7 linked regions of the Macaca fascicularis genome follow. The main gene of each other region encodes a partner of the protein of the gene in region 6 in a complex. Links are inferred from orthologs where the notes say so. Each region holds a gene or a part of one and is shown on either strand. Other genes may lie near its edges. The genes, in order: LSM2, LSM6, SART1, PPIH, PRPF6, USP39 and LSM7.

Evidence for each region.
Region 1: USP39 (region 6) and LSM2 share a complex: the UniProt entries of both Homo sapiens proteins name them as parts of the U4/U6-U5 tri-snRNP complex. The link is inferred for Macaca fascicularis from reciprocal best matches to the Homo sapiens genes USP39 and LSM2.
Region 2: USP39 (region 6) and LSM6 share a complex: the UniProt entries of both Homo sapiens proteins name them as parts of the U4/U6-U5 tri-snRNP complex. The link is inferred for Macaca fascicularis from reciprocal best matches to the Homo sapiens genes USP39 and LSM6.
Region 3: USP39 (region 6) and SART1 share a complex: the UniProt entries of both Homo sapiens proteins name them as parts of the U4/U6-U5 tri-snRNP complex. The link is inferred for Macaca fascicularis from reciprocal best matches to the Homo sapiens genes USP39 and SART1.
Region 4: USP39 (region 6) and PPIH share a complex: the UniProt entries of both Homo sapiens proteins name them as parts of the U4/U6-U5 tri-snRNP complex. The link is inferred for Macaca fascicularis from reciprocal best matches to the Homo sapiens genes USP39 and PPIH.
Region 5: USP39 (region 6) and PRPF6 share a complex: the UniProt entries of both Homo sapiens proteins name them as parts of the U4/U6-U5 tri-snRNP complex. The link is inferred for Macaca fascicularis from reciprocal best matches to the Homo sapiens genes USP39 and PRPF6.
Region 7: USP39 (region 6) and LSM7 share a complex: the UniProt entries of both Homo sapiens proteins name them as parts of the U4/U6-U5 tri-snRNP complex. The link is inferred for Macaca fascicularis from reciprocal best matches to the Homo sapiens genes USP39 and LSM7.

What each region holds. Positions count from the first base shown.
Region 1 is NC_088378.1:139,905,959-139,910,560, forward strand, and holds the start of LSM2 (U6 snRNA-associated Sm-like protein LSm2), read left to right. Parts: upstream 1-1,624; 5' UTR 1,625-1,787; coding exon 1,788-1,877; intron 1,878-2,218; coding exon 2,219-2,286; intron 2,287-4,602. UniProt on the Homo sapiens protein: Plays a role in pre-mRNA splicing as component of the U4/U6-U5 tri-snRNP complex that is involved in spliceosome assembly, and as component of the precatalytic spliceosome (spliceosome B complex).
Region 2 is NC_088379.1:151,030,232-151,034,762, forward strand, and holds the start of LSM6 (U6 snRNA-associated Sm-like protein LSm6), read left to right. Parts: upstream 1-1,276; 5' UTR 1,277-1,352; intron 1,353-2,676; 5' UTR 2,677-2,780; intron 2,781-4,531. UniProt on the Homo sapiens protein: Plays a role in pre-mRNA splicing as component of the U4/U6-U5 tri-snRNP complex that is involved in spliceosome assembly, and as component of the precatalytic spliceosome (spliceosome B complex).
Region 3 is NC_088388.1:8,429,595-8,433,610, reverse strand, and holds part of SART1 (U4/U6.U5 tri-snRNP-associated protein 1), read left to right. Parts: intron 1-202; exon of another isoform or gene 203-243; coding exon 244-370; intron 371-493; coding exon 494-599; intron 600-856; coding exon 857-934; intron 935-1,049; coding exon 1,050-1,149; intron 1,150-1,238; coding exon 1,239-1,381; intron 1,382-1,512; coding exon 1,513-1,719; intron 1,720-2,417; coding exon 2,418-2,542; intron 2,543-2,629; coding exon 2,630-2,745; intron 2,746-2,838; coding exon 2,839-2,981; intron 2,982-4,016. UniProt on the Homo sapiens protein: Plays a role in mRNA splicing as a component of the U4/U6-U5 tri-snRNP, one of the building blocks of the spliceosome. May also bind to DNA.
Region 4 is NC_088375.1:192,203,437-192,207,452, reverse strand, and holds part of PPIH (peptidyl-prolyl cis-trans isomerase H), read left to right. Parts: intron 1-428; coding exon 429-521; intron 522-1,568; coding exon 1,569-1,656; intron 1,657-2,135; coding exon 2,136-2,176; intron 2,177-2,925; coding exon 2,926-2,994; 3' UTR 2,995-3,011; intron 3,012-4,016. UniProt on the Homo sapiens protein: PPIase that catalyzes the cis-trans isomerization of proline imidic peptide bonds in oligopeptides and may therefore assist protein folding. Participates in pre-mRNA splicing.
Region 5 is NC_088384.1:120,121,454-120,125,469, forward strand, and holds part of PRPF6 (pre-mRNA-processing factor 6), read left to right. Parts: intron 1-956; coding exon 957-1,075; intron 1,076-4,016. UniProt on the Homo sapiens protein: Involved in pre-mRNA splicing as component of the U4/U6-U5 tri-snRNP complex, one of the building blocks of the spliceosome.
Region 6 is NC_088387.1:35,962,920-35,966,935, reverse strand, and holds part of USP39 (ubiquitin carboxyl-terminal hydrolase 39), read left to right. Parts: intron 1-1,647; coding exon 1,648-1,784; intron 1,785-3,520; coding exon 3,521-3,673; intron 3,674-4,016.
Region 7 is NC_088393.1:2,987,970-2,992,461, forward strand, and holds the start of LSM7 (U6 snRNA-associated Sm-like protein LSm7), read right to left. Parts: upstream 2,971-4,492; 5' UTR 2,939-2,970; coding exon 2,933-2,938; intron 2,850-2,932; coding exon 2,759-2,849; intron 1-2,758. Other genes in the region: SPPL2B (signal peptide peptidase-like 2B), read left to right, coding at 3,091-3,156. UniProt on the Homo sapiens protein: Plays a role in pre-mRNA splicing as component of the U4/U6-U5 tri-snRNP complex that is involved in spliceosome assembly, and as component of the precatalytic spliceosome (spliceosome B complex).

The sequences.
Region 1 (4,602 bases), on a different chromosome or scaffold from region 6:
CAAAATTTGTGCTCCAGCTCCTTATCTCTGGGACTCCTCAACATTTTTTTGTTTTTTATAATTTTCTTTTTTATAGACAGAGTCTTGCCCAGGCTGGAATGCAGTGGGGAGATCGTAGCTCACTGTAACTCTTGGGTTCAAATGATCCTCCTGCCTCAGCCTCCCAAAATGCTGGGATTTACAAGCCTCAACATTTTGTTGTTGTTGTTGTTTTGAGACAAGAGTTTCACTGTTGTTGCCCAGGCTGGAGTACAATGGCACGATCTCCACTCACTGCAACTTATACCTCCCGGGTTTACAGGCGCGTGCCACCACACCTGGCTAATTTTTGGGTTTTTAGTAGAGACAGGATTTCGCCATGTTGGCCAGGCTGGTCTAGAACTCCTGACCTCAGGTGATCCATTTGCCTTGGCCTCCCAAAGTGCGGGATTATAGGCGTCAGCCACTGCGCCCGGTCAATTTTTTTTTTTTTTTTTTTTTTTAAAGACGGAGTCTCTCTCTGTCACCCAGGCTGGAGTGCGGTGGCGGGATCTCAGCTCACTGCAAGCTCCGCCTCCCGGGTTCACGCCATTCTCCTGCCTCAGCCTCCCGAGTAGCTGGGACTACAGGCACCCGCCACCTCGCCCGGCTATTTTTTTGTATTTTTTAGTAGAGACGGGGTTTCACCGTGTTAGCCAGGATGGTCTCGATCTCCTGACCTCGTGATCCGCCCGTCTCGGCCTCCCAAAGTGCTGGGATTACAGGCGTGAGCCACCGCGCCCGGCCAATTTTTTTTTTTTTTTTGAGACGAGTCTCGCTCTGTCGCCCAGGCTGCAGTGCAGTGGCATCATCTTGGCTCCCTGCAACCTCCACCTCCCGGGTTCACGCAATTCTCCTTCCTCAGCCTCCCGAGTAGCTGGGATTACAGGCGCCCGCGACCACGCCTGGCTAATTTTTTTTGTATTTTTAGTGAAGACGGGACTTCACCATGTTGGCTAGCCTGGTCTCGAACTCCTGACCTCACACAATCCATCCACCTTGGCCTCTCAGAGTGCTGGGATTGAAGGCGTGAGCCACCGCCCTCGGCCTTTTTTTTTTTTATCAGCTGAATTTAAGATTAAAAACATTTTTTAATTTTATTTTTTGAATTTTATGTTTTTACTTTAACAAATATAGAAAAGTGCACACTTCATAATCTTCACAAACTCCCCACAATTCTCGATAGGATGTGTGTAGAGGGCACGAACACATCACGCTGTGGACGGCAGGGTTATGGAAAACAAAACCTTTTGAGCTCAGACGCCGAGTGCCTCCACCCGCCTAGCAGCCCAGGCTAGGGTCCGCGCCTGCGCAATGGGAGCCGGCCGGCCCTGGAAGAAGTCGGAACGAAGGAAACCCCGCCCCTTTCCCGGCTTCCTCCTCCCCTCGGTTTTACCCAGCTTGCGCTCCCCAGCCGCAAGTCGGCCGCGCTTTACCCTTCAGCGCTTGGAGGGTTCTGCGTCCCTTCCCGCTGCGCCTGCGCGGTCCCGCCTCGCCCCACGCGCGGGCTCGCGCTTCGGTTCTCCCAGACCTGGTCTCAGCATCCGGCTCTTTTCTCGCTCCGGCCCGCTGCCCGCTGCGCCAGCACCATGGTGGGTACCGTGACGTCAAAAGGGGTCGCCCTCGGGGATCTCGGACGGTTGGGGCAGGGGGGTCTGGCCTTTGTCCCCCTAGGCTGGAGTTAGGTCCGGAGTTTTTATCTTCATCGTTAGTCCTGTTCCTCAAGTTCGTTGAGGAGACACCTGAGAGCAAATGGGATTTTTTTTTCCATGATGAGGAAAAAAACCCCAACCCTGAGAGAGATTCAGTGGGGACAGCGGGAGACGGAAAAGTTAGACCTTAGAGCACTTCTCTGCCAGGCAAGCTTCGGCAGGGTGCGGGTGGGATGTTTTCTGTAATTCATTGAAAGGAGTGGGCAGGTACCCGAGAAAGGTGGTCGATTGAGAGAGCACACTGGGGAGGCCGAGGTATGCAGGGCAGAGCCTCTCTGGGACTTTAAGTGATGGGCTCAATGCAGTGTGCAGAATAATTTGGGCTCCAGCCTTTCACCTCTCAACCAATTATTCTTTCCTGTGAAATTTTGAGAACTGTTAGGGATGCAATGGGGTTCACAATACCGGTATTTGGTAATACTGTCAAGGGACACTCCTCCCTACCATGTTCCTTCCCACATGATGGTTTTCCCCCTCTCTCCCAATAGCTCTTCTATTCTTTTTTCAAGTCCCTTGTGGGCAAGGATGTGGTCGTGGAACTCAAGAATGACCTGAGGTAGGTACCTGTTCCAACAAGTCTGTTGGGGGTGGGTGTGCCCAGGGCCCTGGAACCTCTTTAATTTGAGAAATATTTGAGGGCTGGGTGAGGTGGAATATGTACAGAAGAAATAAATGGCCGGGTGCGGTGGCTCACGCCTGTAATCTCAGCACTTTGGGAGGCTGAGGTGGGCGGATCACGAGGTCAGGAGATCAAGACCATCCTGGCTAACACGGTGAAACCCTGTCTCTACTAAAAATACAAAAAATTAGCCAGGCATGGTGGCAGGCGCCTGTAGTCCCAGCTACTTTGGAGGCTGAGGCAGGAGAATGGCGTGAACCTGGGAGGCAGAGCTTGCAGTGAGCCCAGATCACGCCACTGCACTCCAGCCTGGGTGACAGAGCGAGGCTCTGTCTCAAACAAACAAAAGAAATAAATGGGTGGGGTGCAGTGGCTCACGCCTGTAATCCCAGCACTTTGGGAGACTGAGGAGGGAGGATTGCTTGAGCCCAGGAGTTTGAGGCTGCAGTGAGCAGTGATTACTCCATTGCACTCTAGCCAGGGCAATAGAGCAAGACCCCATCTCTAAGACAAATTTTAAAATTTAACAATAAATAAATGCCTTGTGCCTTAAATTTACAGATAAGCTTGGGGATTGTATTGTGTATTGGAAAACAATACAAAGCAATATACAGTTTAAAGAGTAAATACTGGTCAGGTGTGGTGGCTCATGGGCTGGACGTGTGGCTCATGCCTGTAATCCCAGCACTTTGGGAGGCCGAGGTGGGTGAATCACGAGGTCAGGAGTTCAAGACCAGTCTGGCCAAGATGGTGAAACCCCGTCTCTACTAAAAATACAAAAATTAGCCAGGCATGGTGGCAGGTGCCTGTAATCCCAGCTACTTGGGAGGCTGAGGCAGGAAAATCGCTTGAACCTGGGTGGCAGAGGTTGCAGTGAGCTGAGATTACGCCACTGCACTCCAGCCTGGGTGACAGAGTGAGACTCTGTCTCAAAAAAAATAAATAAAGAGTAAGTACTAGGCTGGCCATGGTGGCTCACACCTGTAATCTCAGCACTTTGGGAGGCTGAGGCAGGAGGATCACTTGAGTCCAGGATGTCGAGACTAGCCTGGGCAACATAGAACCATTTCTATAAAAGATTAGCCAGATGTGGTTTACATGCCTGTAGTCCCAGCTATTCGGGAGACTGAGGTGGGAGGATCACTTGAACCCAGGAGGTCGAGGCTGCAGTGAGCCATGATTGTACCACTTTACTCCAGCCTGGGTGACAGAGGAAGACTGTCTCAAAAAAGAACAGGCCAGGCCAGGCGCAGTGGCTCACGCCTGTAATCCCAGCACTTTCGGAGGCCGAGATGGGCGGATCACGAGGTCAGGAGATTGAGACCATCCTGCCTAACATGGTGAAACCCCGTCTCTACTAAAAATACAAAAAATTAGCCTGGTGTGGTGGCGGGCGCCTGTAGTTCCAGCTACTTGGGAGGCTGAGGCAGGAGAATGGCATGAACCCAGGAGGTGGAGCTTGCAGTGAGCCAAGATGGCACCACTGCACTCCAGCCTGGGCGACCAGAGCGAGACTCCATCTCAAAAAAATAAACAAAAAAACAGAACAGGCCATAGGCTGGGCATGGTGGCTCATGCCTGTAATCCCAGCACTTTGGGAGGCTGAGGTGGGTGGATCACAAGGTCAAGAGATTGAGACCAGCCTGGCCAACATGGTGAAACCTACGTATTAGATATGCTACTGTGTATCTAATACCTAGTATAGGCCAGTTGTATGATAGGTGCTTAAGGAAAGAAAAATAATATCTGAAGACCTATTGACTAAGCACTATTCTGAATACATTTATTGATTGATTTCTCAAACACTCCTTAGTAATATGTACTATTGCTGTTATACATATGAGGAAACTGAGGCTTAGATCAGCTATACCACTTGTTCAAGTCTACAAAACTAGTAAGTGATACAGAACAGAAATATGATTATGTCCAGCTTTTTTCTTTTTCTTTTTTCTTTTTTTTTTTTTGAGATAGTCTCGCTCTGTCGCCCAGGCTGGAATGCAGTGGTGTGATCTCTGCTCACTGTAAGCTCTGCCTCCCGGGTTCATGCCATTCTCCTGCCTCAGCCTCCCCAGCAGCTGGAACTATAGGCGCCTGCCACCACACCTGGCTAATTTTTGTATTTTTAGTAGAGACGGGGTTTCACCGTGTTAGCCAGGATGGTCTCGATCTCCTGACCTTGTGATCCGCCTGCCTCGGCCTCCCAAAGTGCTGGGATTACAGGCGTGAGCCACTGCGCCTGGCTTTTTTTTTTTT
Region 2 (4,531 bases), on a different chromosome or scaffold from region 6:
CTTAAAACTCCTCATGGCTCCCTACCCACCACGCTAGTGTTAACAGCTCAATTAGGGCTCTGTAGGAAAGGGAAAGAAGTTTTAATCAAAATTTTATTTTATTTTTTTTAATAATTTAAACAACCAGTAAGGAATGTGCAATTTGATGTCTTGCAAAGAAAGTTTTTAGGAACAGGCCTTTTTATCCTGTTATGTTTGTACTTTGCAAGTAATTATTTGATTTAAACAGTCCTTTTCTTAAAATTTTTATTTATATTATATTTTATATTGCAAGAACTTCAAATACAGTCCTCTCAATAAATCAGTAACTGTTTGGTCTTTACCCAAACTGAGCTTTTATAGAAGGATATAAGGAAGTCTCTATTCTTTACCAAATCACATCCACTTGTTTTCTGTCCCTGATATCAATCAAAAGTTCATTTCTTCTGCCTTTAGCCAAAAGAAGGTTACAAGGGAGGAATTCTTTATCTCAGAAAAAAATTCTGCATCTTAGATTTTATAACACCTAATGGGGTTAAGGATCTGTGTTGGAAGATCTTATTGCTTTGTGTATAGCGTTACAAACCATAAATAAAATTAAAGTAAGTTTTCAGCTGATGAGAGTAAAGGAATCAAGTCTTGGGGTAACAGTTCTCTTTTTTTCCCCTTCCAATCCCATTAATAGAAAGTGTTGAGAATTCATGCAAAATTCCAAACCAAGTTCCCATAGTAGCACTTAAATAATGTCTGCACACCATTTCCAATTGGAACAAGTTTTTAATGTAACACAATTAATGTCATTATAATTCGGAGTTACTTGAGTGATTTTAATTATTTTTTAATCAACATTGCCATGGAAACAGTCTCTTGCTAAAATGGCTTAAGTCTTCACACATTTAATCAATATCCAGAGGTAGATTTAAAGACTTGAGGTGTTTTATTTATTTATTTGCTTTAAACTATTCAAGGACGTTTCTGGGTACACAGTGCCGTTACTTAAACAGTAAATTCCAGTTTCCTATGACTTCAAGTTATTTTTTACACTTCTGCAAATAAATCCTGGACAAAAGATCACTTCTAGTTTCCTGGATTTTTGTTTTTGTTTTATATTATATTTGTTTTGTATTCAGATTTCTGTCAGAGGAACTCCAGTGCACCAATTTTGCTACTAGACAAAACAGGATTCTCGGATTTGCGCGCTTCGGCGCTGACAGGCTTTTCGGCCCCAGCGGGCTGCCGTAGCAGAGAAGAGCAGTGATTGGCCGAGGCAGAAAAGTGCCGCTGCCTCGGCGGTTTCGCTTTTGGCTGCGATCATCCGCGGAGGCCGGACTCGTGGGGCGCCTGGAGTGAGGGTTCTGGATCCCGCCCGCGAGGTGAGCCGCACGGCTGCGCGGGCCGATGACGGGGCCGGGCGTAGCCCCGGGTTCGACGCCCCAGTGTTCAGTCGCGCTGTGGAGCGGCGGCTGCAGCTGCCCTAGGCCGGGCGAGGCAGCCCCGGAAAGGGCCTGAGGGGAACGGGCTGGGGCTCCGGGAAGGGACCGCTGAGTGGCAGCTTCCCGCGAAATGCCGCGTCCAAGCTCTCCGCGCACGGAATGGCCGGAGAGGTCTGATGGTGGGCGCCGGGACCGCCCTCAGCGAGGTGCTTAGACTGCGCAGAGAGTAGCGGCACCGTCCCGGCTCCCACCGAGTTGGCGTCCGAGACCAGTTCAGGTTGTTGAAGTTCCCCAGGGAGCCCCGAGGCTAATCCCAGGATTCGGCGGGAAAGCGGATCCCGAACCCAGGCCTAGGCTTCGCCAGTCTTCCAGGGCTTCAGGGAATTGCGAACCCTTCCCTACATCGGGGTGGCTGCGCCTGACCACAGGAATTAAGGACTCGACTCGCCTGTCTTACTGAGTTGTCAGGCCTAGGAACCCAATTGTATGGTCTTAAGTCCTATCGCCCGAGGTTTTCTGTGCGTTCGCGTGTCCGCGCGCGTGCATAGCAGGCGTTTTTAAGATGTGTAGCATTAGGATGAAGCGGATTACCCTACCCCACTGCTCTTAGTAATATGTGACTATTGTAGAAAATTGCAAACATGGAAGACTTTAGTGAAGAAATAGTATTCACAACCCTTTCACCTACAATCTTTTTCTCCTGTGTATGCTAGCTTCTACTTGAGCTAAGAGTGTACATGTTTAATCACTTAACAGTATAGTTTACCACTTCCATTTAAAAACTCTTCCTAAATATTATTCTAGTTTTGTATCTTCTTTTGATTGACTGTCCCTCATTGTGGATCGCAATGTAGGTCCCATAAATTATTCAGTCATTTCCCGATTGTGGGATATTATAGATTGTTTTTGAATTTTTGAATCTCTTAGCACCCCAGATAATACTTTGATAAACCTTTTCCCCCCTATTTTTTAGATTATTTCCTTGGACTAGATTCTCAGAAGTGAAATTATCAGATTAGATGCTTTCATCTGTAAGGCCTTTTTTAGGCCTTCGTACACATTGCTGCAGTGTTTTCCAAAAAAGTTTTTCAGGTGTTTGGCAATTTTACTTGCTTGAATATTGTACAGAAATCTTGAGAGGCTTATGTTTGTGGGTGTGTGTGTGTGTGTGTGTGTGTGTCACTGGAGTTAATGCGTTACTACCTGAATGTTAGGGCAGGAAGAGACTTAAGTGGTCATCTGGCATAACTCCCTTATTTTGCAGATGAGGAACCTGGGGCCATGAGAAGTGAAATGATGAGTTATCCAAGTCACACAGCTAATTAAGTAGCAGAGCTGGGATTAGAACTCAGGTTTCCTGCCTCCCAAGTGAGTACCCTGTGCTGCATCAGGCAGTCTCTCACTGAACTCTGGCATAGTAGATATTAGAATTTAAAAATTTGTTTACATCACCTGGATTATTCTCTCCTTTTAAAAGTGTACTAACAGATTAATGATCGGAGGGACCTGTAACACTGAGAAATTGGAAAGTGATTATTTTCATGGCCAAGACTAGAAATCCATTATTTAGAATGGCAACCCCTTCAAGATTTTGACAGTTGTTTTCAGGTTCCCTTTATGTTAGAATAAAACATCCCTGATTAATTATAATCTACACTCCATCATTTGGTTAGAATGTAGCTTTTGGTTATCATTTGCTGTACTTTGGAGATTTCTTTAAAACTCCTCACTTTAAAACCAAAGAACAACGTTGTTGGTGGTTTTTTTTTTTAGGGCTTATAGCGGAGATTCTCAGCTTCCATTGACATTTTGGGCTGGACAGTCCTTTGTTGTGGAGGGCGGTCCTGTTGTAAAATGTTTAGCAACATCCCTGGTCTCTACCCACTAGTATAGCAGTAGCACCACCTTCCTCAGTCTTGACAGTTCAGTGTCCCCAGATACTTCCAAATGTCCCTGAGCAGGGTGGGGTGGGGTTGGGGAAACTGCCCCTAGTTGAGAACCATTTGCTTAAATAAATTATCTGGAGAACTTCATAAAATGTAAAATACAGTGCTTTTACCTGAGTAGACTTCAGGAATCTGCATTTTAACAAGCATCTCTAGATTTGGAAACAGCTGGTTCTTGAATGACAGAAAGGGTTGTTTTCTCCGTCTTTGGTGGTCCTAATAGAGATTACTTGGTTAGTATTTGTTGAAGTACGTGCATGATCCTACTAGTCACTGTATCCATAGTTTGGGTTGGTGGGGGCTGGACAGGGATTTTGCTTGGCACTGGCCTTGAATGTCTCTTCCACAGACTTGGGCAGTGTGCTTAGGTACCAGGGATACCAAGTGAGTAGGATATTTCCCCTGTCCCCAAGGAGCTTAAAACTCACCATGGGAGACCTGTCAGCAAATGGAAAAATTACAAAGCAGCCTGATAAGGACCATGACCGAGAGTTGAAAGAGGTGCTGAGTGGACTCACTTCGCCTTTGGGAGAGAGGGAGAGAAGTAGCGCCTGCTGCTCAGGAAGGAGGGATTGGTATGAAGCCTTCACAAGACAGCGAGGCACTCCACTGTGTCAGAAGGGAGGACTTGGAGAGCTGTTCTTCTCCGTGTCTGATCGCCTCCTCAGACACTGATCTGTTAGTCTAGTGCTGCAGTTACTTGGATTGTAATGTTTCCTTGCAAGTTTTTGCTTTTCAAATTTTTTTCACCCTAAACTGTAAATATGCTAGGAGTAGGTAAAAACTTACAGGTAAACATTGCCAAGTAATAAGGATTTTCATGTCTTCTGCCCAGTGGCATAACCCAAATCACATGAGATAGTTTTCTTTGCGTTTGTCCGTTGTATTTCTTTGAGGCTAATTTACAGCACTTTGTCATGTTAGGTATTTTTTTCCCCAGTGCTGCTACTCTCCGACTGGATTTCTCGCTGCCTCTATTGCGATTCCCCAAGATTTAACCAGAGAATCTTAACATATTCAGAAGGCAGCTGTACCTGTGAAAGCGCTTGGGGTTTGGGGTCAGTCTTGGCTTTGCTTTCCACCTCACACGGTTTCTCTGTAAATTGCTTATGAATCTAACGCTGGTGGCACATAGTTGGATTAATAAAAGTTCTTTTTTTCTTCATTCTCTTA
Region 3 (4,016 bases), on a different chromosome or scaffold from region 6:
TGGGTCTGTTGTTTTTCTTTAAAGCACAATTTGAGGAGCTTTGGAAGCCACAGAGGGTCCTGTCGTGCTGCATGGGTTGGCCAGGAGTGTGGGGACGAAGTGGGAGCAGGGAGGTGAAGGATTGTTCCTTCCTGTCCTGACCCCTTCTGGCCCCCTGAGCTGGAAGGGGGCAGGGTGAGTGGCTCCCTCCTCTCCCCACCAGCCATGGGCGGGCATAGCCTCACGTCTGGGCCCCCCTTCCAGAGGCGGGCACCAAGGAGGAGCCCGTGACAGCCGATGTCATCAATCCTATGGCCTTGCGACAGCGAGAGGAGCTGCGGGAGAAGCTGGCGGCTGCCAAGGAGAAGCGCCTGCTGAACCAAAAGCTGGGGTGAGGGGTCCTGGCCAGGGCAGGCAAGGGAAGGGCTGGGGAGGCCACCATCCTTGGCTGCCTTTTGAGTGGGGTTGGGAGCAGGAGCTGGGCTCCTGGAGCATCACTTTCTCCCCTCTTCAGGAAGATAAAGACCCTAGGAGAGGATGATCCCTGGCTGGATGACACTGCAGCCTGGATCGAGAGGAGCCGGCAGCTGCAGAAGGAGAAAGACCTGGCAGAGAAGAGGGTGAGCACCTGGGCAGCATGGGGTGGTTGCCCAGTGCTTTTGCTGGCCTGACTGGGCGTTGAGGCAGGGGGTCGACCCCAGAGAGGTGAGACGGGGTTCGGAGAGGGGATGGGCTGTGGTTGGTAGCATCTGCTTTGGATTCTCAGCAACTTTCCTGCAAGGCCTGCTCTTTTTGCACTCCGCTTGGTAGAGCCCTGAGTGTTTTCTGGTGGTGCTGAGTGGCCTGAGGTCCTAGGTCACCCCTCCCTGTCCCATAGGCAAAGTTACTGGAGGAGATGGACCAAGAGTTTGGTGTCAGCACTCTGGTAGAGGAGGAGTTCGGGCAGAGACGGCAGGTGAGGCTGCAGCAGCCGGGGTGGGTGGTGCAGGGCACACTGGCGGCCTTGATGCTGGAATCCCAAGGTTGGGCGCGTGGAGGGAGGTTCTTTACTCGCCTGATTCTTCTGTTAGGACCTGTACAGTGCCCGGGACCTGCAGGGCCTCACCGTGGAGCATGCCATTGATTCCTTCCGAGAAGGGGAGACCATGATCCTCACCCTTAAGGACAAAGGTGACGCGAGCTGGGTGCCTTGGGTCGGGGCACAGCCTCTGCTGAGTTGTGGACAAGTGTGAATGGCCACTGCTCTGTGCTGCCCGCAGGCGTGCTGCAGGAGGAGGAGGACGTGCTGGTGAACGTGAACCTGGTGGATAAGGAGCGGGCAGAGAAGAATGTGGAGCTGCGGAAGAAGAAGCCCGACTACCTGCCTTATGCCGAGGACGAGAGTGTGGACGACCTGGCGCAGGCACGGCCCAAGCAGGCTGGGCGGCGGGGGCTGGGGTGGAGAATGTCGGGAATAGGGGCTCTGAGGAGGTGGTGGCTCAGTGGCTTTTCAGGAGCCACCCTGGGTCCCAACCTGTACCTCTTACCTTGCAGCAAAAACCTCGCTCTATCCTGTCCAAGTACGACGAAGAGCTTGAGGGGGAGCAGCCGCATTCCTTCCGCTTGGAGCAGGGGGGCATGGCCGATGGCCTGCGGGAACGGGAGTTGGAGGAGATCCGGGCCAAGCTGCGGCTGCAGGCTCAGTCCCTGAGCACGGTGGGGCCCCGGCTGGCCTCTGAGTACCTCACACCCGAGGAGATGGTGAGCCCTCTTGCGCCTTGTACTTGGGGTCATGATTCTCCCTCCCCTTGGGGCTCCTGCGCTGCCCGCAGGCACTGGGAAGAGAGGGCAAGTATTTCTGTTCACAAAGCGCTTGGCCTCGTGGGCAAGCAGTAAATGGCAACCTGGGGAGGCACCAGGTGTTGACGGGTCAGGGCTGCTGAGCCAGATGGGCCCCAGTTGGTGTTTCTGCTCTGCCATACTGCCAGCTTGTGCCTTGGGTAAGCCATTTAACTGTGAGCCTGGGGTGCCCCATCTGGAGTGGCAGTGATAGGAGCCACCTCCTGAGGTTGCTGTGAGGATGAGTGACAGTGTGGGTGAGGGGTGACTGGAAAGGTGTGCGTGGATTCTGTCCGCAGAGTGACTGTGTGAACGTGAGGTAGTCAGCTGGTGTAGTAGGCGTCTTGCTCAGTGGGTAAGAGCAGGACTCTGGAGCCAGACTGCCCGGCTTTCCCACCTAGGAGCTGGGCGACCTTGGGGAAGGTACTTAACCTCTCTGTGCCCCAGTTTCCCTAATCACCAGTGGAAGGGAGATAGTAACCACCCCACGTGTTGCTCATGTGTGAGAAGTGCTCAGGACACTGGCTAGCACAGAAGAACACCAAAGAAGTGTTCATCCTCGCGGGCTTGTGGTGGCCTGCCTTTCCCCGCCCCGCCCCACGCCTCCCTCTTCCCCTCAGGTGGCCTTTAGAAGGACCAAGCGGAGGGTGAGGAAAATCCGCAAGAAGGAGAAGGAGGTCGTAGTGCGGGCGGATGACCTGTTGCCTCTCGGGGACCAGACTCAGGATGGGGACTTTGGTTCCAGGTGGGCTTGGACACCATGGTAGGGTGAGAGGGCTGGGCTGGGGTGTCCCGGGGGCCGGTGCTCACCAGAGAGGCCTCCTTCCCTCAGACTGCGGGGACGGGGTCGCCGCCGAGTGTCTGAGGTGGAGGAGGAGAAGGAGCCCGTGCCTCAGCCCCTGCCGTCGGATGACACCCGAGTGGAGAACATGGACATCAGTGATGAGGGTGAGAGCCTGGCCAGGAGGTGGGAGGGGGCAGGGACAGGAGCCCTGGGTTGGAGGAGATTGTCTGAGCAGGCATCCCCTGTGTATCCCCCAGAGGAAGGTGGAGCTCCACAGCCGGGGTCCCCGCAGGTGCTGGAGGAGGACGAGGCGGAGCTGGAGCTGCAGAAGCAGCTGGAGAAGGGACGCCGGCTGCGACAGTTACAGCAGCTGCAGCAGCTGCGAGACAGTGGCGAGAAGGTGAGGCTGGGCATGGGCAGGCCTGGGGCTACCAGTGCGTCAGCAGTCACCTGTCCTCACGAGCACATGTGTCATAGGCAACAGCCACATTCCTGTCTGAAGCCTCTTTTCCATTTGTTTTTTGTTTTCTGGGTTTTGTTTTTTTTTGAGACAAGTGTTTTGCTCTGTCGCCCAGGCTGGAGTGCAATGGCGTGGCCTCGGCTCACTGCAGCCTCCGCCTCCCTGGTTCAAGTGATTCTCATTCCTTAGCCTCCTGAGTGGCTGGGATTACAGGCACCCGCCACCACACCCGGCTAATTTTTGTATTTTTAGTAGAGACGGGGTTTCACCGTGTTGGCCAGGCTGGTCTCCAACTCCTGACCTCATGATCTGCCTGCCTCGGCCTCCAAAAATGCTAAGATTACAGGTGTGAGCCACTGCGACCAGCCCTGGTTAAAGTCATGTTTTCTGTTTAAAAGTCATGTTTTGCAAAAGTTTTTAGATGCCTGCTTTAGTAGGGGATCCTTTCCTGGCCTCTCTCTTCCTGTGCATGTTTGTTGAATGCCTGCTGTGAGTAGTGCATTGTTCTTGGGCCGAGAAGGTCATTGGTGAACAGGACAGCCACGGGGCCCTGGACTCAGAGAAGTGGCTTTCTAGAGTGTGTGGGGGAGAGCTTAGGGAGCAGCAGTGACCTGGTGAACGCAGGAACGGTAATTTCTGATGGTGACAGGAGCTGGGCACTCAGTAGGCCAATATAATGTGCTGGGGTTGGGATCTTAGACGGGGGAGTGCGGGGAAGACCTTTCCAAGGTACTAGTTCAGCTGAGACTTGAGTCACACAGAAGAGCCAGCCTTGCGGGGGATTAGGGGTGGCAGCAGGTGACAGGCTGGCGTTTAGGTGGTAGATCAACCAGCAGGTATCTCAGGAGAAGAGACCTTAGAGTGCCTGAGGGCCAGGGAGGCCGGAGCAGAGCAGAGAGTGAGGGGGTGGTGTGAGCTGAGACGGAGAGGTCAGGAGGCCAATGCAGGGGGAGCCTTGAGCCCACGGTCATCGCT
Region 4 (4,016 bases), on a different chromosome or scaffold from region 6:
ATACAGACTGCCAAGAGCTCACCCACCCTCTTAGAGAGTTTGGAGGAATGGGTGGTAGTCACTTAAGTGGGTACTTTTATATGACTGCAGGCATGACAGTCTTCGGGAATGGCAACGATTGAGTATGTGATCACCTTGTTGCTATTCCCTACTTTGTCTGCATCTTAATTGATCTTTCTAGGGGCCCAGCTGTGACCTGTTTTATCCAGTCTATAAAATGCTCCAGCCAGTTTTTGTGGGCTGTAGGTACCTTGTATAAGGCTTGCTCTGATGGCAGGGTGGGGTCAAATAGGTGCAGCTTCCAAGATGACCAACAAGAGTAAGAGTAGACTTTAAGGATGTCAGGCTTTAGGTGCGACAGTGTTCTTCCTCTGGTTTCCAGGGACCCAACACTCCAAGTCACTAATATTTCCCTTCTGTCTGCTCAGGGAGATGGTACTGGAGTTGCCAGTATTTACCGGGGGCCATTTGCCGATGAAAATTTTAAACTTAGACACTCAGCCCCAGGCCTGCTTTCCATGGTAAGTGAGGTCCAATCAAGGTTTTGCGTTACAGCCAGCTGGTTTCTGGGCCCCTCTTGAGGCCCAATGCTGTGTTTTGGCATGATGAAAGCAAATGCTTTCTTTCTCTTGCTTGCCCCAGGACTCACCTTTACCACCTCTTTTCTCAGTCTGGTTTGATTGAGAAAACCGGTAGGTACATGGTGGATTACAGGTGTGAGCCTGTATCACGTCTGTAATCCTAGCACTTTGGGAGGCTGAGGCGGGTGGATAACCCGAGGTCAGGAGTTCGAGACCAGCCTGGCCAACATGGTGAAACCCATCTCTACTAAAAATACAAAAAATTAGCCAGGTGTGGTGGTGGGTGCCTGTAATCCCAGCTACTTGGGAGGCTGAGGTAGGAGAATCGCTTGAACCCAAGAAGGGGAGATTGCAGTGAGCCAAGATCGTGCCACTGCACTCCAGCCTGGGCAACAAGAGCGAAACTCCGTCTTAAAAAAAAGAAAAGAAAGAAAAGAAAACCAGTAGGTAAGACCCTCTAGCAGGCTAGCAGGCTGGGGAACTAAAATATGAACCAGGGTTTGTGTCTAGGCATTCAGCCCTACTGCTCAGAATGTAAAAAGCTGTGCTTTCAAGACATATTCATAGCTGGGCCTGGTGGCTCACACCTGTAATCCCAGCACTTTGGGAGGCCAAGGCAAGAGGATTGCTTGAGGTTGAGGTCAGGAGTTTGAAACCAGTATGGGTAACATAGTGAAACTTAAGTCTCTACTAAAAAAAGAAAAAAAAAATTAGCCAGGTATAGTGACACACACCTGGAGTCCCACCTACTAGGGAGGCTGAGGTGGGAGGATTGCTTGAGCCCAGGAATTTGAGTCTGCAGTGAGCCATATCCTGTTCATCTCTGGATCCTTGGATCCTAGCTTAGGCCCTGGCTCATAATAGGTGCTAAGTTAGATTTACTGAAAAAAACATGGAGGGATTAGGGTTACAAGCTCTTTTGGGAATCTTACCCATCAGGTAACATGGCCAAGGAAACTTACTGCAGGTATATTTGGTTTCCATCAGGCAAATAGTGGTCCGAGTACAAATGGCTGTCAGTTCTTTATCACCTGCTCTAAGTGCGATTGGCTGGATGGGAAGCATGTGGTGTTTGGTAAGTCCTACTCATGTCCCATGGTCCAGGCCCCATTCACCGCGGATGGAACCTCCAGAGGAGTTAGTTCTCAGACTCTTACCAAGAATGCTCAACTTGGATAACTGCTTAGGTGGTAACAGAGAAAACAGAAATGGTGGGGAGGTGGGGAACATGTTTGGCTAGAGAACTAGAGGGAAGGACAAAAGGGCCATTTGATATAGTATGGAACCACTCAGGGGAAAAACCCAGTAGCTAGCACCAAAGAAATGCCATACAGGCAGCATGATATGGTGAGACTTTGCAGTCACTCAGATATAAGTGTGAGCCCTAACTCTACTTATTACCTATGACCTTGAGCAAGTCATTTCACCTCTACTGCATCTTAATTTCCTAAAGTTAGTAACAGAATCTAATGACATAATAGCTAAGAATGGGCTTTGGAAGCTGGAAAACGCTATGTAAACAAGAATAAAGTCCAGCTCACACTCTTCCTACAGGAAAAATCATCGATGGACTTCTAGTGATGAGAAAGATTGAGGTAAGTACTGCTTTGATTTTTCTCTTTCTCTCCCATTCTGGTCTGGTACTGTCTGACTAGCGTCCAGGAGCTAGAGAAGGGGGAATGAGCTCCAGTTTGTTAGGCCCAGTCTTCATTGCTTCAGGAAAAGGGAGGAGAGACCACCTAAGTTAGCCTGTCTGGTCAGCACTGAGGTTTGGCCCCTGACGACCCTGTTGCCTACTTGATAAAATTCTACTCCTCAGCATTGCATTCAAGGTCCTTCATGATTAGTCCCTGTCTACTTCTCCACGGCCCCTTCTCCTGCCACTGCCTCTTTCATGTTCCAGTCACATCAGGCTACTAGCTCTTCCCTAAATCTGCCATACACATCTCTGCCCCTTGCTCTTTCCTGCTCCTGAGCCTTTGTTCACACTGTTTCCTGTAGCTGGAATGCTCTTCTTTCCTTCCCTCCTGGTGGAATCCCATTCATCCTTCTAGGCACAGTTCAAATAATCCTCTTTTGTGAATCCTTCCCTGACCTCTTTAAGCAGCAATTTAGTTACCCGTCTACCCCTTATCCAACTCTCTCATAACTTTTTGTTATATTATCATAGGTTTGATGTTTTCTAAGTGTTTTGCATTTTCTCTTTGATACCTGTCTGCCAGGACATGGACAGTTTCTGAGTGCTGAGTCCTTAGCACAGGGGCTGGCAGGCATCAGTAAAAGTTTGATAAGGGAATGAGGAAGTGCCTGAGTGGATGAATGTCCATTGTGCTTTTTTTCCTAGAATGTTCCCACAGGCCCCAACAATAAGCCCAAGCTGCCTGTGGTGATCTCACAGTGTGGGGAGATGTAGTCCAAAGACTGAATCAGGTAAGTGTGTCTTTCTGCTATTAGGTTAGGAGTCAGACCTCAAAGAAGACAGCATGGTCTAGTGGAAAGATCTTTAGTCTTGAAGACATGAGATTGAGCCCAGTTCCTCTGTGTGTGACCTTGGAGTGGTCACTTTCCTTCTCTGAGCATGTGTCCTCATCTGTCAAATGGAAATACTGTAATACCTATCTCTCAGAGTCACTGTAAAAATCAAAAGAGAAAGGGTTGTAGGAGCACTGTACTTTTCTATCACTTTGTAATGTACAAAGTATCAATCTGAAAACTACTCAGGCAGTTTGTAACAGCACTTTCAGACTACAGTTCCATTCAGTAGTCCCCCTAGAAAGACCTGGCTCCAGGCCTGAGTAACTCTCTGCTGGGACCAGGCCAAGCAGCCAGGAGACACGCCTGTCATGCACCTCATCAGAACTGATACTGCAATTCCAGGCCTTGACTTCGTATTTGCCGGCCTCACAGGTGAATGCCTTGCATCTTCCAGCCTACATGGACTCATTTCTTACCCGTATTTGCCACTGCCTGCTCTGCGCTGGGCAGCATGCTCGCTGCAGAGAGCGGGGCAAAGAATTGAAAGGTGTCTCCTTTCAGGAGCTCATGGGAAGTAAGACATTCTCAGAGGTCATCACTAGTAATATGAGTGACACTGCCAAGTGTGAGAAGAGTACAAGGGGGAAATCCGAGGTGAGGGATAGTAATGTTTTTCTTTTTTTTAATTTCAAACCTGCAAAAAAGTTAGAAGAATACCTTGACCACCCATATATCTTCACTTAGATTCACCAGTGATTAACATTCTTGTTTTATTTCTTTGCCTTGACATTGGTTTTTTTCTTTCCCTTCTTGCCTCCTCATCCATTTCCATTGCCTCTCCTCCTCCCTCCTGCTCCTCTTCCCTCCCTCCATCCTTCCCTTCCTATTTTTCATCCTTCCTTCCCATCTTCCTTCCTTTACCCTTTCTTCTTTTCTTTCCCATTTGAAAGTTGCAGACTT
Region 5 (4,016 bases), on a different chromosome or scaffold from region 6:
ATGATAAAAACTTAAAGTGGAATTGGTGACAGTATTTGCTTTTTTTGGCTTTAGTGCTTGCCCTCTAAAAAGACATCTACAGAAAAACCTCAGCTGACTGAATATCGATTAACTGTCTTCTAACATGTGACGCCTTTCCTCTGAGGAATATTTAAAAAAATAATTTTAGTTTTGAGGCCAGGCATGGTGGCCCACACCTATAATCCCAGCACTTTGGGAGGCCGAGGCAGGCAGATTACCAGGTCAGGAGATCGAGACCATCCTGGCTAACACGGTGAAATCCTGTCTCTACTAAAAATACACAAAAATTAGCCGGGCATGGTGGCGGGCGCCTGTGGTCCCAGCTGCTTGGGAGGCTGAGGCAGGAGAATGGTGTGAACCTGGGAGGCGGAGCTTGCAGTGAGCTGAGATCGTGCCACTGCACTCCAGCCTGGGCAACAGAGTAAGACTCCGTCTCAAAAACAAACAAACAAAAAATTTAGTTTTGAAATAATTTTAAATTTGCAGGAACTTGCAAAAATAGTGCCAAAAAAAAAAAAAAGTTTCTGCATATCTTTCACCAAGCTTCTCCCCATCTTACATGACCTCAGTGCAGTTATTGAAACGAAAGAGTTAACATTGACACAGTACTGTTAACTAATCTGTCAGTCGTATTTGCATTTCATGTGTTTCCACGAATGTCCGTTTTCTGACTTAGGCTCAGTCCAGGAACCCCCGTTGCATTTTGTCATGTCTCCTTGGTACCTTCCAGTTGGAGCGGCTCCTCTGTCTTTCATGCCCTTGACACTTGAAGAGTAGTCACCAGTTATATTGTAGACTGTCCCTCAATTTGGCTTCGTTGGCTGGAGAAAATAATTTAGCAAGTATTTCACAAGTAGAGATCTTCTCTGTTTCTGCTGGTGGGGATGGTGATGGAGGAAAAGCTGACCTCTCTGCACATGTTGTTTGCTTCTCAGTTTAATGGCTACGCTGGGAGCCTCTTCTCAAGCGGGCCCTATGAGAAAGATGACGAGGAAGCGGATGCCATCTATGCAGCCCTGGATAAAAGGATGGATGAAAGAAGAAAAGAAAGACGGTAAAAGAGATTGTTGCCTTTCACGATGTTTATCCAACTTTAAAAAAAGTTTTGAGGCCAGGCGCAGTGGCTCACGTGTGTAATCCTATCACTTTGGGAGGCCAACGTAGGACGATAGCTAGAGCCCAGGGGTTTGAGACCAGTGTGGGCAACATAGCGAGACCTCATCTCTACAAATAATTTAAAAATTAGTCAAATGGTACACACCTGTAGTCCCAGCTACTTGGGTGGCTGAGGTGGAAGGACTGTTTAAGCCCAGGAGGTAGAAACTGCAGTGAGCCATGATCATGTCAGTGCATTCCAGCCTGGTTGACATAGTGAGACCCTGTTTCCAAAAAAAAAAAAAAAAAAAAAAAAAAGTTTTGAATTTTTTTTTTTTAATTAGAGATGGAGTCTCGCTCTGTCGCCCAGGCTGGAGTACAGTGGTGTGATCTCGGCTCACTGCAAGCTCCGCTTTCTGGGTTCACGCCATTCTCCTGTCTCAGCCTCGTGATCCGCCTGCCTCGGCCTCCCAAAATGCTGGGATTACAGGCATGAGCCACCGTGCCCGGCCTTTTTTTTTTTTTTTTTTGAGATGGAGTCTTGCTTTGTCACCCAGGCTGGAGTGCAGTGGCGCAATCTTAGCTCACTGCAAGCTCTGTCTCCCGGGTTCACGCCATTCTCCTGCCTCAGCCTCCTGAGTAGCTGGGACTACAGGCGCCGCCACCACGCCCGGCTAATTTTTGTATTTTTAGTAGAGACGTAGTTTCACCGTGTTAGCCAGGGTGGTCTTGATCTCCTGACCTCGTGATCTGCCCGCCTCGACCTCCCAAAGTGCTGGAATTACAGGTGTGAGCCGCTGCGCCCGGCTGTTTTGAATTGTTTTATAGTCAGAGAAACGTTGCAATAGTATATGTGTGTGTCTGCTCAGCTTTTAGGCCACCTGAGGGTCTTGGTGTGTCGTAGCCATGCTTGGATAAGCCCTGGGCTGTTACGGAACAGCCTTAGGGGCTGGGGGCTGCAGTGGAGAGCTTAAGAACTCTTAAGATTTTCCAGAAATCAGTAGAATTTTGTGGATTACTTTTATGATACATCAGGGTTACCATCTTTGAAAAGGGCTCACTGACTGTTGATTAATCTTTTATATGTTGAGTAATTTGCAAATGAATTAAAGATGTCAAATGACACATACAAGCTACCAAGATTGAACCATGAAGAAATCCCAAACCTGAACAGACGAATAAGTAGTGAGATCAGAGCTGTAATAGAAAGAGTCCTAGCAGAGAAAATCCCAGAATCTGATTGCGTCATCGCTGAATTTTACCAAGTATTTTAAGAAGAACTAGTATCAATTCTACTCAAACTATTCTGAAAAATAGAGGAGGGAATACGTCCAAACTTATTCTACAAAACCAGTAGTACCCTGATGCCAAAACCAGACAAAGACACACTGAAAAAAGAAAACGTTAGGTCAGTATCCCTGATGAACACTGATGCAGAAATGCTCAGCAGAATACTAGCAAACCATATTCAACAAGACATTGGAAAGAGGGTTCATTGGCTGGGCACAGTGGCTTATGCCCGTAATTCTAGCACTTTGGGAGGCTGAGGTGGGCGGATCTTGGGTCATCTGAGGTCAGGAGTTCAAGACTAGTCTGACCAACCTCGTGAAACCCCGTCTCTACTAAAAGTATAAAAATTAGCCGGGCATGGTGGCGCACGCCTGTAATCCCAGCTACTTGGGAGGCTGAGGCAAGAGAATCGCTTGAACCTGGGAGGTGGAGGTTGCAGTGAGCCGAGATCACGACATTGCACTCTAGCCTAGGAGACAAGAGCAAGACTCCATCTCAAAAAAAAAAAGATTGTTCATCATGACCAAGCGGCATTTTGCCCAGGGGTACAAGTGCAAGGGTGGTTTAACATATGCAGATGAATCAGTGTTATACGTTTTATCAACAGAATGAAGGAGAAAAACCATACAATTTCTTTTTTTTTTTCGAGACGGAGTCTTGCTCTGTTGCCCAGACTGGAGTGCAGTGGCACAATCTCAGCTCACTGCAACCTCTGCCTCCCGGGTTCAGGTGATTCTCCTGCTTCAGCTTCCTGAGTAACTAAGACTACAGGTGCCCGCCACCACGCCCGGCTAATTTTTTGTATTTTAAGTAGAGACGGGGTTTCACTGTGTTAGCCAGGATGGTCTTGATCTCCTGACCTCGTGATCCGCCTGCCTTGGTCTCCCAAAGTGCTGGGATTACAGGCATGAGCCACTGCGCCCGGCCTGATCATTTTAATTGATTCTGAAAATGCATTTGATAAAATTCAACATTCCTTTATGATAAAAACTCTAAGAAAACTGGGTGTAGAAGGAATATACCTCAGGCTGGGCGTGGTGGTTCATGGTGGCTCACATCTGTAATCCCAGCACTTTGGGAGGCTGAGGCGGGAGGACTACTTGATCTCAGGAGTGTGAGACCAGCCTAGGCAAGAGGGTTAATACCCTTTCTGGCTGGGTGCGGTGGCTCAAGCCTGTAATCCCAGCACTTTAGGAGGCCGAGACGGGCGGATCACGAGGTCAGAAGATCGAGACCATCCTGGCTAACCCGGTGAAACCCCGTCTCTACTAAAAAATACAAAAAACTAGCCGGGTGAGGTGGCGGGCGCCTGTGGTCCCAGCTACTCGGGAGGCTGAGGCAGGAGAATGGCGTGAACCCGGGAGGCGGAGCTTGCAGTGAGCCGAGATCCGGCCACTGCACTCCAGCCTGGGCGACAGAGCGAGACTCCGTCTCAAAAAAAAAAAAAAAAAAAAATACCCTTTCTTTCCAAAAAATACAAAAATTAGCCAGGCTTTGTGGCACACACCTGTAGTCCTAGTTACTCAGGAGGCTGAGATGGGAGGATTGCTTGAGCCCAGGAGGCGGAGGTTACAGTGAACGGAGATCACACCACCACACTTCAGCCTGGG
Region 6 (4,016 bases):
GTTTCACCATATTGGCCAGGCTGGTCTTGGACTCCTGACCTTAAGTGATCCACACTTTTTGGCCTCCCAAAGTGCTGGGATTACAGGCGTGAGCCACGGCACACAGCCACATTTTTTTTAAAAGATGGGATTGTACTCTGTTGCCCAGGCTAGTCTTGAAACTCCTGAGCTCAAGCAGTGTGCCTGCCTGTACCTCCCAAAGTGCTGGGATTATAGATGTGAGCCATTGCACCCTGCTATCTGGCTAAATATTTTATTTTATTTTTTTTGTGGAGACAAGGCCTTATTATGTTACCCAGGCTACAAATTTTTTTTTTTTGAAGTATCCTTTAGCTCAAAGGACTTTTTTTATACCTTTTTTTTTTTTTTTTTTTCTGAAAATGTATCATTTCAACTCATTCACACCAAGCAGATGCCATGTACATAGTATAGTGGAGGATTCAAATGAGGTAAAAACAACTGGGCACAGTGGCTTACACGTGTAATCCTAGCATTTTGGAAGGCTGAGGAGGAGAATTGTTTAAAGGCAAGAGTTCAAGATCCACCTGGCTAACATAGCAAGACCCTGTCTCTTTTTTTTTTTTTTTTTTTTTGAGACGGAGTCTCGCTCTGTCGCCCAGGCTGGAGTGCAGTGGCGCGATCTCGGCTCACTGCAAGCTCCGCCTCCCGGGTTCATGCCATTCTCCTGCCTCAGCCTCCCGAGTAGCTGGGACTACAGGCGCCCACAACCGCGCCCGGCTAATTTTTTGTATTTTTAGTAGAGACGGGGTTTCACCGTGGTCTCGATCTCCTGACCTTGTGATCCGCCCGCCTCGGCCTCCCAAAGTGCTGGGATTACAGGCGTGAGCCACCGCGCCCGGCAACCCTGTCTCAAAAAAAGAGATAAAAACTATATTCTTTGCTCTTATTAGGAGCTTCTAAGGAGTCAAGGTTGACATGTGAAACAACGAGCGAGTTCTGTTAGACCATAAAGATTACTGCTGGACCGTGGCACTGAGTAAAAATAAGTACAGTAGGAGTTAAAATGTGCAAAAATCAATGTTAGCTGGAGTGTTGATGTTGAGTTCATGAAGGAGTGGAGGTGGGACTTGAATTGGCAGGACATAGGAGTTTGAATGGTTAGGGGAGAGAGATTCTAGAAAGGAGTAGCAATATGAGAAAAGTTACATAGATACAGCATTGTCCGGAATATGGGCATTTGGAAATTCAGGACTGAGTGATGATGGACTGTCATAGGATATGTATATATTTATGTATATGTGTATTTATGCACACACATATGCATGGATGTTTCTAGTTTCATATATATAGGAAACTATGTATGTGAATATATAGTTATATATATAGAGATTATCTATATTTTATATATCATATGTATTTTACAAATATTTGCAAAAAATAGTGAACTTTGTTTCCCCAGTCAATGTCTTATGCCATCTAGAGAAAGAAGTAACTAATGTGCTAGTCTTTCTTGCTAATTTTTTTATGAGAGAACTTCATGTGGAGGATTCATTTTATGAATGACATAATATTTGTTTTTCGCGGATGTTAACATGTTCCGGTAGAAAATAATGAAAGGAAAAGCAAACCTGATCTGTGCCTTCTAGTATCTGCCCTTCTATTACAGCCTTTCACCCTTCCCTACAGGCCGAGGTTTGAAGTCTCACGCCTACATTCACAGTGTCCAATTTAGCCACCATGTTTTCCTCAACCTCCATACCCTCAAGTTTTACTGCCTTCCAGACAACTATGAGATCATCGATTCCTCATTGGAGGATATCACGGTGTGTGTCTAAGAGGGTTGGTTTGGGGTCCATTCTTTAATGAGCCATCCCAGGGTTCCCAGGGGACTGCCCCATCTGAGGACAGGGAAGAATCTCAGTCCTTTTGGGCATCGAGAGGCTGCTTTCCCTTTTGGGAAGAACTGGGGAAACTGAGTAAGGTCAGAATTCATAATTGCAGCCTGTAGTCTATAACTTAACTGTCATTTCTACTTGTAACATTGAGGGCTAGGACTGAAGAAATATGGGTGTATTCTGATGGGGTTTAAAGTGTTTTTGTGAAATTATTCTTCCACACTTTGAAGCAGGGATATGAATTGGTCCTGGTGTAGGACAATATTTACCAAGCTGCACACCAGCTTCTGGCTGCTTTTAACATATGATGGGACCAGAGCATCCAGCCACAGATGTCTCATCTCTGGGCTCTAGTTTGTGGCCTGTACCAAGAGACACTCATTGTGCTGAGCATGGGCTTTGATTAGTGTTGGGTTTTTGATTATTATTTTCCTTTTCAGCACTTGGGGCATATTCATGGTGCCAAGTGCTCTGTTTTGTTTTTGTTTTTTAGACGGAGTCTTGCTCTGTCGCCCAGGCTGGAGTGTGGTGGCACCATCACAGCTCACTGCAGCCTCGACCTCATGGGTTCAAGTGATCCTCCTACCTCAGCCTCCCACCTCAGCCTCCCAAGTAGCTAGGACTATAGGCATTACCATCATGGCCAGATAAATTTTTAAAATTTTTTGTAGAGATGGGGTCTCACTGTGTTGCCCAGGTTGGTCATGTTCTGTTTATTTTTAAGGAAATGGTGGTATTTAGTCTTTGAAATATTGCTTTTTCTACTTGTAAAAATTTTATAAGCCTATTATTAGTAGTTGAGATTAAAATAGTTATGGACAGGCTGGGTGCGGAGGCTCACGCCTGTAATCTGAGCACTTTGGGAGGTGGAGGCAGGTGGGTCATTTGAGGTCAGGAGTTTGAGACCAGCCTGACCAACATGATGAGACCCCATTTCTACTAAAAATACAAAATTACCCTGGCATGGTGACACATGCCTGTAATCCCAGCTACTTGGGAGGCTGAGGAGGGAGAATTGCTTGAATCTGGGAGTGGGAGGTTGCAGTGAACCGAGATCGTGCCATGGCACTCCAGCCTGGGCAACAAGAGTGAAACTCCGTCTAAAAAAAAAAGTATGGACAGTATTTATAGAGGGAGAAACTGGGCTAAATTCAGTGTTTCAAAGTGAGTTTGGGATGACCTCTGTCCAGTCTGTGACATAATGACTCTGGTAACTCTGCCTGAGAAGAGTCTGATCCTGCTCTTCCAGTACCAGGGACTCGTGGAGATCCTCAGTCTCACCCAGAATGGAGGAAACTCTCCTGCTCCAAAGCTAGGTACATGTGCTGCTCCCGGGAGGTTCTATCTGAGACTTAGACTGCCTTTAGGAACTTAATAGTTTCTGGCAGTCAGTTTTCATGAGTTGACCAGATCTGAGGTCTATGAAAAGACCTGGGATTCAGTGATTTTGGGTTAGACACAGAGATCCCCTTGTAGATTAGCCATGGGAGAGGATCTACCCTGTGTTACTTCAATCTTTACACCTACTGATTGGGACTTTTTCTGTGTGTGGTGGGATGTTCATGGCCAAAGTGTTCTTTGTTTTTGTAGAAATTGCTGTTGTTTGTAGACATTTCTTGTGAACTCAGCTCTTAAACAACTTAGCATTTTCTTTTGCTTTGCAGTATGTGTTGAAGCCCACTTTCACAAAGCAGCAAATTGCAAACTTGGACAAGCAAGCCAAATTGTCCCGGGCATATGATGGTACCACTTACCTGCCGGGTATTGTGGGACTGAATAACATAAAGGCTAATGACTATGCCAACGCCGTTCTTCAGGTAAGATCAAGACGGGAACACTGAGAAAGAGAAGGACACCCAGAAGGCTGGGCACAGTGGCTCACCCCTGTAATCCCAGCACTTTGGGAGGCCAAGGCGGGCGGATTGCCTGAGGTCAGGAGTTCCAGCCAGCCTGGCCAACATGGCGGAACCCTGTCTCTACTAAAATTATAAAAATTAGCCAGGTATGGTTGTGCAAGCCTGTAATCCCACCTATTCGGCAGGCTGAGGTGGGAGAATCAACTTGAATCCGGCAGGCAGAGGTTATAGTGACCCGAGATCGTGCCACTGCACTCCAGCCTGGGGAACAGAGTGAGACTCTGTTTCAAGAAAAAATAAAAAA
Region 7 (4,492 bases), on a different chromosome or scaffold from region 6:
CCCTCAGTGAGTTCACGGAATACAGAAGAACAAATCCCAGCCCTGCAGCTCAGGGCTTGCGGGGAGCGGGCAAGAGAGATGCTCTGAGACCCGGGTGCAAAGGCTTTGGGGGCTGAGGCGGTTGCTGTGGCTTCTCTCTCCACGCTGCCTGCCCCACCCCCCAAGCCTCGCCGCCTTAGGTCACAACTTGGCACCTTGGGTTAGGGCTCTCTGACCCGGTGGTGACCTCTGCCATCTGATCCTGCTCCGCAGTGTCTGGTGACACTGAGAAGGATGAAGGGGGAGCTGTGTGTCCTCAGCAGAGGCCAGCCCACCCTCCCTGTCCGGGACTCCCGTCCTCTCCCCCCAGGCTCCTCCAGCCCAGGCCCAGGAGCGGTTCCGCCTCTGCGCTCACTGAGGGGCGTCCCTCAGCCACCCGCTCCCTACCCTCCTTCTTACCCCTGTCATCTTTCAGGTGCTTCCTCCAGACACCAACCCACACCCCTTAGGGTGCTGCCCTCTGCATGCCCCCCACCAATCTCAGGAAGCAGGCACCCCAGGCATTATTCTGCCCGCCTATCTTCTCCCAAGGCAGGGCTGTGAGCCTGTCCATGGCCGTTCTGCGCTGCGAACTACGACCAGAGGCGAAAGTGGCCCACCGCTCATCTCTGTATGCCAAAGTTTCACTGGCCCACCAGCACACTCGCCCGCTCAGGCACTGACCAGGGCGGCTCTCCTGCTCTGCGGGCATAGCTCACTGGTTGTGACAAGAGACCATCTGGGCTGCAAAGCTGAAGATATTTGCTGTCTGGCCTTCTACAGAGAAGGTCTGCCCACCTGCATACAGGCTTTAGCTCCTACCTCCACGGCTCCCTCTCTCTGCGCTCAAGTCCCTCCCCTGCAAAATGAAACCTGTCACCTATGAGATGGGGTCAGACGCAACGGTTCAGGTCCTTGGCACCAGCCTGACCAGTGAGCCAGCCCTCCTCACAGGGACAGATGTGAGCACTGAGGTAGGTAGGTCTCTAACCAAGGTTCCCCTCCCCGGGGTGTGGGCTCGGGCCTGTGACTCTGAGGGGACATGACGTCACTCCTGCACTTAGGTTATGCAGCTGTTTAAGCCCCTGAACCAGCTGACTTTGAGCCAATCTAGAGGGAAACACCCTGGGTGAGCCTGACCATATCAGGTGAGTCCTTCAGGGAGCAAACCCTTTCTCTGCTGTGTGTGTGCGTGTGTGTGATTTATTTATTTTTAGACGGAGTCTCGCTCTGTCTCCCAGACTGGAGTGCAGTGGCGCGATCTCAGCTCACTGCAACCTCTGCCTCCTGGGTTCAAGAGATTCTCCTGCCTCAGCCTCCTGAGTTGTTGGGATTACAGGTGTGCACCACCACGCCCAGCTAATTTTTTTGTATTTTTCGTAGAGATGGGGTTTCACGAAACCCCATGTTGGTCAGGCTGGTCTCGATCTCCTGATCATATGATCCGCCTGCCTCAGCCTCCCAAAGTGCTGGGGTTACAGGCGTGAGTCCCTGCGTCCCGCCAAGAGCTGCAGCATGCATCACCAGCCCACTGCCCATGCGAATGCTTCCTGCCCTCTGAGAGCTCGCCCTGTCTTCACTAGATTCCATGGAAGAGTTGCAGGCAGAGGCAAGCATCAGGTTAACATGCACGAAACCGCAAACGGTGACAGGTGCTACCAGGATCCTAGAACGATGGGGGGCCTGACGCCAGGGTCAGGGAGGGCTTCCCAGAGCAAGCACCTGTGGAACTTGTGCTTCTGCCGCCCTTTGCAGTCATAATCAGAAGTATGGATTCGGATTTTACTCCAAAACAACCGGGAGCCTCAGAGGTTTTCAGCAGGGAGCAAGAAGCCTCCATTTCTTTTTCATTAGGTGCCTCTGGCCGCTGAGTGGAGACTGACCTTAGTAGCTGTGATTCCCAATCACAGCTTGGGGGTCGGGGGGCGATCCTATCCCCAGAGAACACTAAGCAATGTCTGAGGCTATTTAGGTTGTCACAACTTGGTGGAGGCCAGGGATGCTGCTCAGCACCCTGCAGTGCCCCAGGACGGCCCCACTCCAGAGAATCCGGCCCCAAATGTGTCCACACTGCTGTGCGGGAAAGACCTTGACTTAGAGGGAGGAAGAGGAGAAGCCGGGAGATCTGTGGGGATCTGGGGCAGTCCTTGGACACACAGGACTGCTCTGGAGGCCAAGCCGGAAATCCCAATACCGGCTGCGCCACTGTGACTTTGGATTACGTTTGTTTCCCGCTCCTTGCCCCAGTTTCCCCGCCTGCAACATGGCCATACCAGTTCCTACCTCCCGGCGTAATTCGGAAGCCTGCACAAGGTAGTCGGCGTCAAGCGTGTAAAGAGGCGCCTCTGCGGCGGCTCACGCCTGTCATCCCAGCACTTTGGGAGGCCGAGACGGGCGAATCACTTGAGGTCAGAAGCTTGAGACCAGCCTGGCCAACATGGTGAAACCCCGTCTCTACTAGAAATACAAAAATTAGCCAGGAGTGGTGGCGCCTGTAGCCCCAGCCACGCAGGAGGCTGAGGCAGGAGAATCGCTTGAACCCGGGAGGCGGAGGTTGCAGTGAGCTGAGATCGCACCACTTGCACTCCAGACTGGGCGACGGAGCGAGACTGCGTCTCAAAATAAATACATAAATAAAAATAAATAAAAGAGGCGCCTCTGCATGCATCCTCATCACCTCTGTTGCTGACTTTATTTTAAAATTTTAAAGGGGGGGTGCCAACGGCGGGAGCCGCCTCACCTTCGCGTCCTCCCTGAAACTTCACCCGGATCGTCTTGTCGATGTACTTGGACAAGTCCAAGATGCTCTCCTTTTTCTTCTTCTCCTTATCCTGCGGGGAAAGCAGAGCGCATGAGGCCTGGAGCGCGGCCCGAGCCCCACGCCCCCCGGCTCCGGATTCTGCCGCGCGCTCACCGCCATCTTGTCGCGCCGTGAGGCTCTTCGCAGACACCGCCCCGTGCCCTGTGACCTCTCCCCTCCCCCCCACGCGCATGCGCGGCGCATGCGTGGCCCGGGGTCTCGGGGCGTTGCTGGGAAACATCTGCCGACGGTTGCGGCGGGCACCGGCCGAGATGGCGGCGGTGGCGGCGGCTGCGCTGGCGCGGCTTGTGGCGGCCTTTCTGCTCCTCGCGGCCCAGGTGAGCGCGGCACCGGTCCCGACGGCACCGCAGGCTGCGGCCCTTCGGCCTCTCGGCCCCGAGGCTACGCGCAGGAACGACCCCTCTTGGCCCGTCTTGGGGGTCCAGCCTCGGGGATCCGCGGTCCCCTCGTTGTCGGCCGGCGGTGCCGGGGCCCGGCCGTGACCTTGCGGGGCTGTCCCCGGCTTCTCTCCCTTCCCCGCCTCGGAGGCCCTCCGCCGCTGCAGCGCCCCTCACTTCCCACCGGGCCTGAAGTTTGTGCCCCCTCCATCTCCCTGTTCTGCTTGTCCGTTTCGGGGTCTCCAGCCGCCGCGGGGGACGCCTCTCTCCCGCTCTGTGGCCTTGGGCAGGCGGCCGCCCACCCCGCTCCGAGCCTCAGTTTCCCTTTAGGCGGAATGGCCCGGTGCTAAGCTAACCTCACCCTAGGGGGTGCGGTGGGGGAACCCAGAGGCGTCCCGCGTGTCCCCCAGTGACTGGCCAGCATCCTGGAGCGGCCAAGAGCCCAGCCCTGCACTGGGGTCGTATTCCCGCTCCATCTTTTACTCCGTGACCTTGGACGAGGGAATTCCCTGCTTTGAGCGTCAGTTGCTCGTCTGGAGAAGGGGGGTCGACTATGGTGTGGATTCTGGAGATGCTACCCAGGGTGACCAGCGCCTAGGGACAGCACGCCTTCCTTATATTCATTGTGTATCCTTTGATGTAGAGTGTCAGGTTCTAGCGGGGACAGTCTACGAGATGGCACTGTCGTAACTGCATCTTTTATTTTCTTAATTCCAAATCTTACCTCTTACCTGAGTTTGGTGGCTCAGGGAATGGAACCCGGAGCAGCCTCACAAATGCGGCCCTTAACCTTCACTCCTCTCTCAGAGTTCTCTTAAGGCGTCGCTGCCACTGGGCTCCTTCTTAGTCTCCACTCTTCCAGCCCCACCGCCATCCCCCTGCTGTGGCTGCCTTTGTCCCCCACATCCCTAGTCCATCCTCGACACAGCAGGAGTGACCCTTTCAAAGTATGTCAGTCCATGTCGCATCTGGATGAACGTGCCGTCCAGTTGTGACCTGGCGCCAGGGAAGCCTGCAGCTCATTGCAGGAGCTTCGTTGTCTAGTCTTTTCTCTTACCCTGAAATGCCCGTGGTCTCTGCAAGGCTGGAGGGCCCCCTCAGAAGCTTTCTGCGAACCGCACCTCCACCCCCAGCTGCCCTGTCAGCCCCCTGGACTCCCCCTATTCTGAGGCCAGGGACCTAGAGACCCCAGACATTTGGAAGGAGGAGGAAAGCCAAAGGTGGAAGAAAGATAGAAAGATCACAGAACGCTGTGGAGGGAGGGACTCAGTTTGCC